Arabidopsis thaliana: one gene and its partner. The protein of the gene in region 1 interacts with the protein of each later gene in a pairwise test. Each region holds a gene or a part of one and is shown on either strand. Other genes may lie near its edges. The genes, in order: CAC2 and AT3G56130.

Region 1 (6,764 bases):
GCTAGAGGGTCGGGTAACGAGCCAAGAGGCTGAGAAGTTGGTTCGGATAGCTTTGTGTTGCGTCCACGAGGAGCCAGCATTGAGGCCAACAATGGCAGCGGTAGTGGGTATGTTCGAAGGAAGTATACCGTTGGGGAACCCGAGGATGGAGTCGTTGAACTTCTTGAGGTTTTATGGGCTGAGGTTTGCGGAGTCTTCCATGGTTGAAGGACAAAATGGGGAGAGTGAAACTATGGTCTTCCACCGGCGAGAGAGCTCTAATAGTGGCGGCTCTAGGCAGTCTGCGTCTTACATAGCGTCTCAGGAAGTGTCCGGCCCGCGATGAGATCACCTAAATGTGAATTATTTTTGTCTTTTGTTTTATTTGGTTTTGGTTACTTTGTTAATAGTGATAGGCCTTGTTCATATAATCTCTACTATATATGAAAATTATTGAAAAATCTTGACATAGAGACTACAAACAAAAGTGTTTCCTCTTGTTTATGATACAAGAAGAACATTGATAAAACCACAGACTCTAGTAAAACAGTCTTATCGTTACCGAAGTTTGTACCAATGAACACACAAAAGGAGACGAAGATTGCAATAATTGGGTGGTCTTTCAGAGCTGATGTATCATTCTAAACCGTTGCGTTTGTCAGATCTTTCACTGCCACAATTTCTTGAGGCTGCATATACAATATAACCATGTTAGAACCCACCATTTGGTTTAACCAACCTTACTATTACAAACACAATTTAATCTGTCTTCCTCTATATATAGTTTCATTCTTCTCATGCAATTCTCCTATCTCTATGTTCAGCTTTACCAAAGGCTTCATATCCCACTAACTTAGAAGCATTGAAAATGAATACATCCAATGGCCTGTGTCTTTAGCCGACCACAGAGACATTCGAATTTACCTCAGCTAGCTCCTCTTCATGCTTGACGATGAAAGCTGTATCAACTTTTCCATTTTTGAAATCCTGTGACCAACACAACAATTGGATTACAAAAAAACCAACATTTTCATTACAAAATTCGCTAAACTATAGCTTTACTTATTTCACACACCTCAACATCAAGGATAAGTTTGTGGTAATTGATAGTCGTTGGAACCCCTGATGAAACCAAGAAAACGAAATTTGATTTAACATTCCACCAGATGTCCAATGTAACGAAATGTCACATCTTACACAGAATAAAAGAAAAACAAAACAGACAATGAAGAAGCATAAACAATATGGAATTAACAAAAAGTAGTACTCGACATACCTGTAATGATAGTGTCATTAAGCGCCCGCTTCATCCGTTCAATTGCTTTTTCCCTCGTTGGAGCCCACACAATAAGCTACAAGAGATTTAGTGTGTCAACACATCAGCTATAAGTTCCAGTAAGCTGCTGCTATAGAAGCAAATGAACAACACCAGGAAGACTTTTCCAATATTTGTTTAAGATTCCAAAACACCCGAGTGATTATTTTACCATGAAGCCACAAAATTTGTTCCTAAATAACCAAACAGATACTAAATGGCTATCCAGAGAAAGTAAAAGACAGATATTACCTTCCCAAGAAGAGAATCATAGCTTGGAGGCACAACATAGTCGGAATAGACATGGCTGTCCATTCTAACGAAAGGACCTCCAGATGGCAGGTATGATGTTATTCTGCCTGTTGTTGTAAGAGTGACGTTATTTTAAAGAAAGCCAATCTGCTAAAATTCGAAGACGTTAACATATAAAAGTCTACTGAAATATACCAGGTCCAGGTCTGAATCCTTTAAATGGATCTTCTGCATTGATACGACATTCAATTGAGTGCCCTCTGAGCACAATATCTTCCTGTAAACAAACAAAATTAAATTTTGAAATAACTTTTTTGGTATCCACTCAAAACATCATATACAACACTATTCAAACCTGTTTGTAACGAAGTTTCTCTCCCATTGCAACACGAATCTGCTCCTCTATCAAATCAACAGAGTAAATCATCTCTGTCACAGGATGCTCCACCTGAGTTTAGATTCAAGAAATGGTTCGCATTCAGTATACTTCAGATGCTTATAAATATACTTAGCAGTCATAATAAAATTCAACCTGGATCCTAGTGTTCATTTCCATGAAGTAGAAGGAACCTCTCTCATCTAAAAGAAACTCCACAGTACCAACACCAATGTACCCAATGGATGCTGCTGCTGCGACTGCTGCATCACCCATGGCTTTTCGCAATTCAGCGGTCAATGCTGGAGAAGGTGCTTCTTCCAGAAGCTTTTGGTTACGCCTCTGTTGTCAGGGGAAGATATAATTAAATGATCCAGATGGTTTTAGATGTCATACAAGAATTGAAAGAAAGCAGCAAGAGGTATACTCAAATTCTGAGAACTAGTATCGAAGTTCGAGTTATCTTAGCAATTAGTACAGGAAAAAATCAGTTTAGCAGATCATGCAGCTGGGATATGACATGCAAGTGCAGTAATTAGGCTGAAGTAAATTTATTCCTGTTTTCATATATTCAGTTACATTTATTCTTGGAGCACTATGCAACAATTGATGGTAATGAAATTATAAAAAACCTAAGAGGAAGATACCTGGATGCTGCAGTCACGCTCACCAAAGTGAACAACATTTCCAAATTTATCTGCCAGCACCTGAAATACAAGAGGTACAGAGAGAAAATATGGCTTTGGGATCAATAATGTGTATCACTAGACCATCAACTCACAAGAATCATCTTTTGCTAAAACCTCAACTGTTTTGAACAACTTCTCCTGATAAAATGCATACCTGGAACTCAATATGTCTAGGGTTTTGTACGAACTTCTCCAGATAACATCCATCATTCCCAAAAGCAGCAGCAGCCTCGCTCTTAGCTTGCTGTCGATAAAAAAATTAAGCCAAGTTCAATAAAGGGAAGTCGAATCTTTTGTGGAATTTTCATTTAAGAAAACTGTGACTATAAAGGCAAGCGGAAAGCATACAATCTGGTTGTTTAATTGATATCAATGGTCAGTATTACTAGATTTAAGCTACTACACTTCCAGCTTTCACAACTATACAGTTGTCTAAATTTCGAAATGTGGCAAACATCATGAGATTACACCTTTACATTGTCTGAGTTAGAAAGAAATAAAGAATCTGTGACAATACTGCAATTATGCTTATGGAGAACTTGATCCCTGGACTCATTAAAAATTCTATCAGAGGAATTGTTGGTTCAGATTTACATGATTGTCATACCTGCAACAGTTTTACAAACTCTCCCGGTTCCTTAGCAAGACGCATTCCACGTCCACCACCACCAGCTGTTGCCTTGAAACCAGAAAAGTGAGAACAGTCAGTTTTTGTAACTATAAGCATATCAATAAGTACAGGGAGACAAGCTGAGCATAAAATAAACATACTTAAATTTGTGTCTTTTCAAGCAGACCAATTTTGAGAATCCAGTTTATCGGTTACATAAAAGAAAGTATGAAATACAAATTTAACTCCAAATCCAATCAAGTTAATATTACCTTGATCATTACAGGGAAACCAATCTCATTGGCGACCCTGACAGCTTCTTCTGTACTCTGCAATAAGACAAAATAAAACATTCAAATCCCAAGACTTCTCTTGACATGCAAAAACTTGAAATACTAAACTGATAATCTAAAAAAATACCTGCAATAGCCCATCACTCCCTGGTACAGTGGGAACCCCTGCATTTTTCATTGTCTCTCTTGCAGTCGCTTTGTCTCCCATAACACGGATGCTATCAGGCTACAGATAGAAAAGACGAAATACCGATAAATCAGATACTGAAATCTTCCTTCTCTCCAACAAAAGAAAGCTAGGGCTGAACTGAGACTAATGAAGTTCTGCAAAGTCTATAAAGTCTTTGAAGAGATATAAGACACTTACATTAGGTCCAATAAAATTGATCCCATGGTCTCTACACATTTCAACAAAGAGAGCGTTCTCCGAAAGAAAACCATATCCAGGATGAAGCATTGTACATCCACGGCTAATAGCCGCAGACAGAACATTCGGAATCACCAAATACCTACACACAAAAGGACAAGAATTCAACACTAGTTCATTCTCTACACAACAAGATCAATCATTTTGTTCCACACTTACGACTGGTTACTAGGAGCTTCACCAATACAAACAGCTTCATCAGCTAATTTAACATGAAGAGCATCTTTATCTATAGTAGAATACACAGCAACACAAGGAATCCCCATTTCATGAGCAGTTCTGATAACACGAACTGCAATTTCACCTCGATTCGCTACGAGAATCTTATCACCACCACTGCATGTAACACCAAGACCACCACTAGTAGCTCTCTTGAGTTTCTTCTGGCTAACCTTTAGAGTTTGAGTTCTTTGTCTAGGGAAGTTAACTTTGCTTGGCATCATTAAGTTACATAGTGAACTTCTGATAACTCCTCCTCCTCCTGACTTCCCTAAGGCTAAAGACTTCATATAACAGATTTAACAGATTCAGAGACATGAAACAGAGAAACAGAGAAACAGAGATTGACGAATTTCAAATTAATAGCGTTTTGGTGCTTACGGGTGGAGAAGTAATGGATTTGGAATTGGTAATCATAGAAGCGTCCATTTCCAAATGCAGGAGGCAAATCCTGGTTTAGCAATGGAAAGGAAGTGAGGGAAACCTCGTGATTATCGAAACAGATCTAATTGTTGAGAGAGAGAGAGAGAATGAAATGTTGAGAGTGAAACTCTGAGATATTGAATCCTCCGCCCGACTGGTTTGATTTGGTGGATTTTGTGCCAACTCTAAACGCAAACACGGAACGCAAACTCGGAACGCAAACGTGGAACGCAGACTCTTTTAAAGATAAATTATATGGGTCATGGGCCAGACTGGTTTCAATGTTTCTTATGGGTCTTTTTTTTTTTTTTTTTGTCGGCCAACATTATATTGATAAAGCCCATTAAGCTTACAAGGATGAAAAAGGTCTTATGGGTCCAGTTTACACTTAATTACATATGTAACAAATTTAATTATATACATCAAGAAAACCAAGTTGCAAAGATACTCATTTTTTAATTTTGATTATCATCTTTCAACTTATTGCTTTGCTTTTATGTTGTTATATGGGTTGAAACATCAATGGAAGAGTCTAGTTCTAAATTTATTTTCAGAGGCTATGATCATATCTTATATTGTTTTATTTTATTTCTGGGTTTGTGCAAAAAACCTTCAAATTCGACCATTTTTGCAACTTTATCTTTCACATCAAAAATGAAAAATAATCTTATGAAGTTCAGAATAATACACATACTATGTCAGTACCCGTGCTACGCACGGTATTCTTGGTTTAATCAATCATCAAATCTCAATTATGTATATATTACAAATCTACTATATTTTCTTTGTTTGTAAATATGTAGTTGTATATCATATATTATTGGTATTAACTAAATATATTTAGTCTCCTCAGCTTGTATTTTGTTTAGTATATGTAGTCTCCTCAGGAGGCAATCCTCGTGAGTATCGAAATAGATCTAATCGCAGAAGAAACGCTGTATTTGTTCTTCACAGAGAGAGAGAGAGATATTGAAATGTTGAGAGTGAAACTGTGAGATATATTGAATCCTCCGCCTGAATGGTTTTAATTTGGTGGATTTTGTGCCAACTCTAAACGTCGAACGCAAACGCTGAACGCTGAACGCTGAACGCAAACGCTTTTAAAGTTTTGTTTGTTTGTTTATTTAAATAATAATGTGTCATAAGAAGATATATTATATAAGGTTTCAATGTTTTTTATTGGTCCAGTGCACACTTAATTACATATGCACCAAATTTAATCATATACATCAAGAAAACCAAGTTCCAAAGATAATCATCTTCGAACCTATCTCAAATTTTAAATATTTTTGTTTTGCTTTTCTGTTGTTATATGGGTTGAAACATCATTGGAAGAGTCTAATTTTAAATTTATTTTTAGAGGCTATGATCTATATATCCTATATTGTTGTATTTTATTTTTGGGTTTTGTGCAAAAACAACTTTCAAATTCGTCTATTTTTGCAATTTTATCTTTCACATAAAAAAATGCAAAATACTTATGAATTTCAAAATAATACGCAAATTAACTTTTTTGCTATTGTCAAAAATTCAATTTTTTGATAAATAATACTTATTTCTTCAATAGATTGCTATATTGGAAGAGTCTAATTCAAAAACAAATGTATGTGATCATGAAAATATTTACAATATATGTAAATTTGCAAAAAAATGGCTATATTTCGCATTATTTTTAAAATTTATAGGATTATTTGCATTTTTTTAACGTGAAGGGTAAAGCTGCAACAATATACAATTTCAGTTTTTTTTGCACAAAACCCTTTATTTATATTGTGTTACTAGATTATACTTATTTCTTCTTTGATTTTCATATTTATTTTAGTTCAAATTCACCTTTGTAAACTGGAAGTCTTGATACATGTAACAAAATATCAATTTTGACCATCATGCAAGGAAATGAAGTTGAAAAGATCTATCTCTATTATCTATTTTGGATATTTGACTATTTTCGATAATATTCGTGTGTCATTTTATTTATGTAATATTTAACAAAATAATTGTTGTGATATATTTATCAAATAATATTTTCTTACCTCTTCCATATCTCAAATAAATTTATGTACTTTATTTTTAACATTGAATTTAGTTTTTGTGATCTAATAGATAAGTATATAAAAATCGTTATACTATGTATTTTATTTAAGGTTTCAAAATTAAGTGCTTTTGTTCGTAGCATCTTCT
Region 2 (5,084 bases), on another chromosome or scaffold:
TCACCGAGGTACACAACTCTCGCGTTCAACAGCTTCTCCCACACCTTCTTCTTATCTTTTCCCATAGCCATCGGCTCACCAATGGCCGTCGCGTCATAGATTCTCGAGGTTATCGTCTCTTCCTTATTCACGGGTGGAGGCGGCGACGGTGTTGTGGTCGCAGGAGGAGGAGGAGGAGCTGCTGATTCCGCAGGCGATGTTACTGTAGCGGACGAGCTCTCCTCGGAGGCTAAAGAGACAGACGGTTTGAGAAACAAGGAAGCAGCCGAGACTAGAAGTGGTGGCGCGAGTAGAAAAGCGCGGCGAGAGAAGGCGGTTCGTGATGGAAGATCGGAATCAGAAAGAGCAACAATGGATAGAGAATTGTTCTTCTCGCTGGTGAGGTTGATCGGAAAATGAAGGCCATAGAAACGTCGGCGGCGAGGACGGGAGGAGGAGGAGCAAGGGCAGTGAAATAATGGTTGAGAAGCGAAGAGATCATTCGTGGTGAGTTTCATTCTCAGAGGCCAGAGCTGAGAAGAGAGCTCCGTTTGTACACGTCAGCGTATTACATACATTGCTAAGACCGATACGAATAAGAGAAGAATTTTAATATTTTCCTTCACTGTTAAAAACATTCGTCAATTTTCTTCTGAATTTTTGAGCCTTGATTTTATTTGATGATCGGAGAAGATAAGATAGCCACGTCATTTCTATAAAAATTCCACAATTGTTTTTTTTCTCTGGTGCAGAAAATCCACATTACGTGACAAATGATGAGAGCAAGATCAAAGTAGACTCTTTGCAACTAAACAGATTACAAATCTTCATTGAACAAACACAGGAGAAGATGAATAGTACAGTCTCCGGATGAAAGACTATTCATTTGCTATGGAATTGGGCTGAAGAAACCATCATCACTGGATGTTGATGTCGTGGAAAGATGGCAAGACTGCAACCAGAGGATCTCCATAACCTACGGAGTCTGTTTGCACACGAAGCATGAGTTCATATCAATTCACTTATATAATTTCTGAATGTTCATACTAAATGAAACGGTTTGAATACTCAAATGTTTACCTCCGTCATCTGAAAGAAGCTTAAGGACTTCTCCAGCTACATCTGACTGCTCGACAAATAGCAAGATCGATGAGTCTGATTAGATAGTTTCAAAGAAGAGATGGATATATTAGTTAAGATATTACCGTCACTGGAAGTTCTGTTCCCAACTGATGTAAGTATCCAATAACTTGGCCTTCCTTTATTGCATCACCCTAAGGAGTTTTTTTCACTTAGCTCTTTGATCTTATTTCTGTTCTTTTGTTCTAAGAGATGCAAAAGAATTTAGAGTCGTTTACCTCTTTGCAGCTAGGAGATTGTTTCTTTCCTTTTACAGTTCTGCTCCTCTGAAACTTGCCCACCTTTTGGTAAGAGAAGAAACAAGATCAAATCAAACAAGAAAACTGCAGAGAAATTAAGGGATATGAAAGCAACCACTAATTAGGAAATGGATCTCATACTGCGGGAGATGTGACTAACACATAGTTGGTGGATCCAGATGCCTCCAAAGCAGCCAACTTTGCTGGTTTCCCATATGATGTATTCTTAAATGGAGACACTTTCTCAGAGGAAGGCTTTGCTTGAGATGGGCTAGGAGCCGAAGAAGCAGATTTATTCATAGGTTCAGAAGGAATAGGAGGCGCTACAGTTGGAGATATATCCGCCACGGGAATGGGGTTTGTGGCTGCTCCAATCTTCCGTTTTAGGTTCATCTCGAAATCTCCAACCTGTAGCAAAAGAAAGCTTCAGAAGAGTCTAATTGTTGGAACCTACATTCTATTATCTCAAATCAGTGATATTTAGCCCCATATTGTTGGTTGAGTAAAATGCACTCGTCTTTGTAGTAGCCTCAAAGAAAGTTTACAAATAATAATAATAATGAAGTTAAAACTAATGGCAGAGAGACTTGCCTTAAGTTGCAGCACAGCAACCTCAGTTTCATCACACATCTCGTGAACCAGTGCCTGCAACATTTCATCTAACAACATATAAAGAAAGGTACATCCATACGTCATGATTAAAAATTATAAGAGTAGATTGCCTGAAGTTATGCATCCAAAATCCTGACGATCTAGAAAGTGCATATTTGAGGAAATCGTCATATCATCACCTACCAAACTTATAAATTAAAGAACCTAATATCTAAGACCCATGAAAGGCAAGGAAGAAACCTCCACTTCTTTCGGGAAAGTTATCCGTCGAACTGTTTTCTTCCCGTCTGACACACTAGCATCAGATGAACCTGCAAAGCCAAAAATAAGCAAAAGTCATAGGAAATAAAAGAAAAATGTTCCAATATCACATCACTGTATCTCCTGGTTCCAAGACAGCTGGTAAAAGACCGAGGCTTACAGTTACATTTCTAGTTCCTTTAAGAGCAAACGAGACTAAGAATTTCAGTTCCAGTTCCTTTAAGAGCAAAACAGATTAATACCATCTTTGGCCAATGGATCGTATTAGCAAAGTGATGAGACAAGCCTGATAGTAAAAAAAGGCATTAACCAGCAAAATGAACATGAAGAAGAATTGTGGAAGATAAACTCACCATCACTTATGGTTGTTGTCGAAGATTTAGCGGCCTTAGCACGTAACACGAGCCTGTAGTTGCTGTTCCTGTTGGATAATCTCCACCGTGGCACACATGAATTACCAGAGGCAGACCAGTTTCCAGAAAGCGAGTGAACCTCACTCTGTGAATTAATGGCTGACCCTAAAGTCTCTGTAAAATGGAACAAATAAAATTCACTTTTTCTAGCTGAAACATCTCTTGATACAAATTAGACACACAAGATCCGAGATTGAAACTTAATTAAGTCGCTAAATTACACTCTAAGAAGCAACAACGTCACTAACGGATAGCTCCAATCTATGCCTTTCATTTCCGAAATTTTACTCATGGTCCTCCATTTCTAGTTTTCCTATCCTCATGAAATCAACAGAATAAGTAAAACGCAGAGAGTGAGAGAGCAAGAGACTCACGATGGAGAGATCCGAGAGCTGCAGAAGACGCCATTGGAAGAAGAAGAAAGCGTGAGCTAGATAGGAGAAAAAGGTTTTGGTTGATTGAATTGACGCCAAGAAGAAAGAGTGTGTTAGTTGAGCTAAGATCAGTTGAAGAAGATGACGGTTGAACAAATTTAATTATTTTGAGCGGCCTTCTTCTTTGGTAACTCCGTCCGCCGCATCTACTACTACACTACGGTCCGTCACTTTCCTTTGCTAACATGCGCCGGTATACTAACAAAAAGGCGTAATTTAGTTCTGAAAATGTAGTATTATTAACAAAGGCATATTCTTATCTCTCTTATATGCTTTCATCAATTAATTTTATCAAAAGTCTTCAGCTTCTGTTAAATACTATTAAGCAAATTTAAGTGTCCCCATTTTCTATCAACTTATGCAGTAGCTGACTCTATGTGCCATGGAATCAAACAAACAATACCAAAAGCAAAAAGAAAAGATTTCAAATGCGTTTTTTGATTCTTCTTTCTTTCCTAGAAATGTCTTTTACTCTTCTTGCTTCAAGCATGCTTCAGGTAGTCTAAAGCTTAGGCAAAACATAGCCTGCAAAGTACAAAAGAAATCTAGCTCAGGAACTACAGATGCTATGTTTTGATAATATATCAAAAAGAAAAACAGACGAGTGGGATCTTACCTTGTTTGGAGCAACATCTCTAACCTTGTGGAAGACTGGATCTTCTATATGGAACTTCAAAGCAGTTTCAGCTTCCTTAAAAATATCAACAGAAGCTGTATATCAGATTTAAAGGCTCGCAGAAAAACGCTACCAGATCTTTGGTACAAAGATATGATATAGTGAAGACAACAAAACTAGAAGGGACAAGCAGGAGGGGAGCGGTTGATACTTACTGCAATTATAAACTCTGTGGTTTCGCTTGCACGGATGAAACAATAGCAATGAATTAATGGAAGAGGTCCTTTCCAATACTTCTTTTGAATAACATTACTGAACGAATCTGCAAAAACAATTACAGAGCTTATATGCATTAGTAGTGTGACAAAAACAAATCCTGACTTCCTTTCTTACTTCTAACTGAAATTGAAGAGCCAATCACATAACTCTTCAAACAAGCCTTAATACATGATGCATCTCCTATTTCTATTGGTCCTGGTCCTAATTAACTTGCTGATGCGGAATGTAGTTGATAGTTGATGAAACTCTAATGCCTTGCAAGTATATGCAAGACTCTAGTCCCAAATTTTGAACAAAAATAATAAAGAATCATTGATAGCATACCAAGAAACTGCAAGGCAGATGCTGGAAGGTTCATAATAACATGGTCGATATGTTCCCACGGCTTTGCGATTGGAAGCAACGTTTGTCTCAATCTCTTATTTGCGTGTCCTTCTATACTCTTGCAGTCTTTTCCTACCCCATTTTCTGCACTCAATTAACATACTGGTGAGGATCCCCAGGCATTAGGCAATATTAACTAAAACAATGTCTTGGAGAAATCTTTATGAGGCATTTCTTACCCGTCTTTGTAGTACCAGATGGCTTCTTATTTGCACCAAGAGGCTCATTTATGCTTGCATTGGATTCACGTATTTCCTCTCCACTGGAATTAGTCTCACCTATGATTAAGCAAAGTAAACAGAAACCCACCGGTAAAGTTATTTTTTGTCTCTCGTAAAACCAAATATGCCAACTATAATGCAAAAAAATAGTTTAAACCAAAAGAACTACCTCCTCGACTCACGGCTGCTTCCTTTGTTTTATCATTATCAGCCACTGATTGCAAATTATCCTCGCAAGTTGACACCGCCATCAAGTGAGAGAAAAATTTACGAGCATCCATGTTGTGCACACAAATCAAATCATCAACCTTATTGAACTTTGCATTGATCTTCAAGTACCGAACACTGTCTGGATTTAAATCATTTGCATACACAAAGCATCCTTTCTGTGCAGCTGGAATAGCAAAAGGCCCAATACCAGCAAACATATCACATACGGTTTCCCCAGGTTTAAACAAAGATGAAAGCCGCATGTGCTCATGTTCCAATCTTGAATTCCAATAAAC

Evidence for each region.
Region 2: the proteins of CAC2 (region 1) and AT3G56130 interact in a two-hybrid assay, tested with the Arabidopsis thaliana proteins (one large-scale study listed by BioGRID).

The regions. Positions count from the first base shown.
Region 1 is NC_003076.8:13,582,125-13,588,888, reverse strand, and holds CAC2 (acetyl Co-enzyme a carboxylase biotin carboxylase subunit), read right to left. Parts: upstream 4,784-6,764; 5' UTR 4,590-4,783; coding exon 4,542-4,589; intron 4,445-4,541; coding exon 4,101-4,444; intron 4,024-4,100; coding exon 3,882-4,023; intron 3,741-3,881; coding exon 3,642-3,740; intron 3,551-3,641; coding exon 3,494-3,550; intron 3,291-3,493; coding exon 3,219-3,290; intron 2,856-3,218; coding exon 2,766-2,855; intron 2,630-2,765; coding exon 2,570-2,629; intron 2,265-2,569; coding exon 2,079-2,264; intron 1,995-2,078; coding exon 1,902-1,994; intron 1,824-1,901; coding exon 1,742-1,823; intron 1,654-1,741; coding exon 1,547-1,653; intron 1,332-1,546; coding exon 1,256-1,331; coding exon of another isoform or gene 1,252-1,255; intron 1,102-1,251; coding exon 1,055-1,101; intron 967-1,054; coding exon 904-966; intron 828-903; coding exon 726-827; 3' UTR 669-725; coding exon of another isoform or gene 621-668; 3' UTR 559-620; downstream 1-558. Other genes in the region: AT5G35370 (S-locus lectin protein kinase family protein), read left to right, coding at 1-325. UniProt on the Arabidopsis thaliana protein: This protein is a component of the acetyl coenzyme A carboxylase complex; first, biotin carboxylase catalyzes the carboxylation of the carrier protein and then the transcarboxylase transfers the carboxyl group to form malonyl-CoA.
Region 2 is NC_003074.8:20,824,820-20,829,903, reverse strand, and holds AT3G56130 (biotin/lipoyl attachment domain-containing protein), read right to left. Parts: upstream 3,329-5,084; 5' UTR 3,053-3,328; coding exon 3,019-3,052; intron 2,759-3,018; coding exon 2,585-2,758; intron 2,282-2,584; coding exon 2,211-2,281; exon of another isoform or gene 2,055-2,210; coding exon of another isoform or gene 2,004-2,054; coding exon 1,950-2,003; coding exon of another isoform or gene 1,946-1,949; intron 1,767-1,945; coding exon 1,500-1,766; intron 1,401-1,499; coding exon 1,338-1,400; intron 1,254-1,337; coding exon 1,185-1,253; coding exon of another isoform or gene 1,173-1,184; exon of another isoform or gene 1,106-1,172; coding exon 1,060-1,105; coding exon of another isoform or gene 998-1,059; exon of another isoform or gene 965-997; coding exon 897-964; 3' UTR 634-896; downstream 1-633. Other genes in the region: AT3G56140 (DUF399 family protein, putative (DUF399 and DUF3411)), read right to left, coding at 1-497; AT3G56120 (S-adenosyl-L-methionine-dependent methyltransferases superfamily protein), read right to left, coding at 3,547-3,603, 3,695-3,769, 3,910-4,016, 4,298-4,441, 4,537-4,635, 4,748-5,084.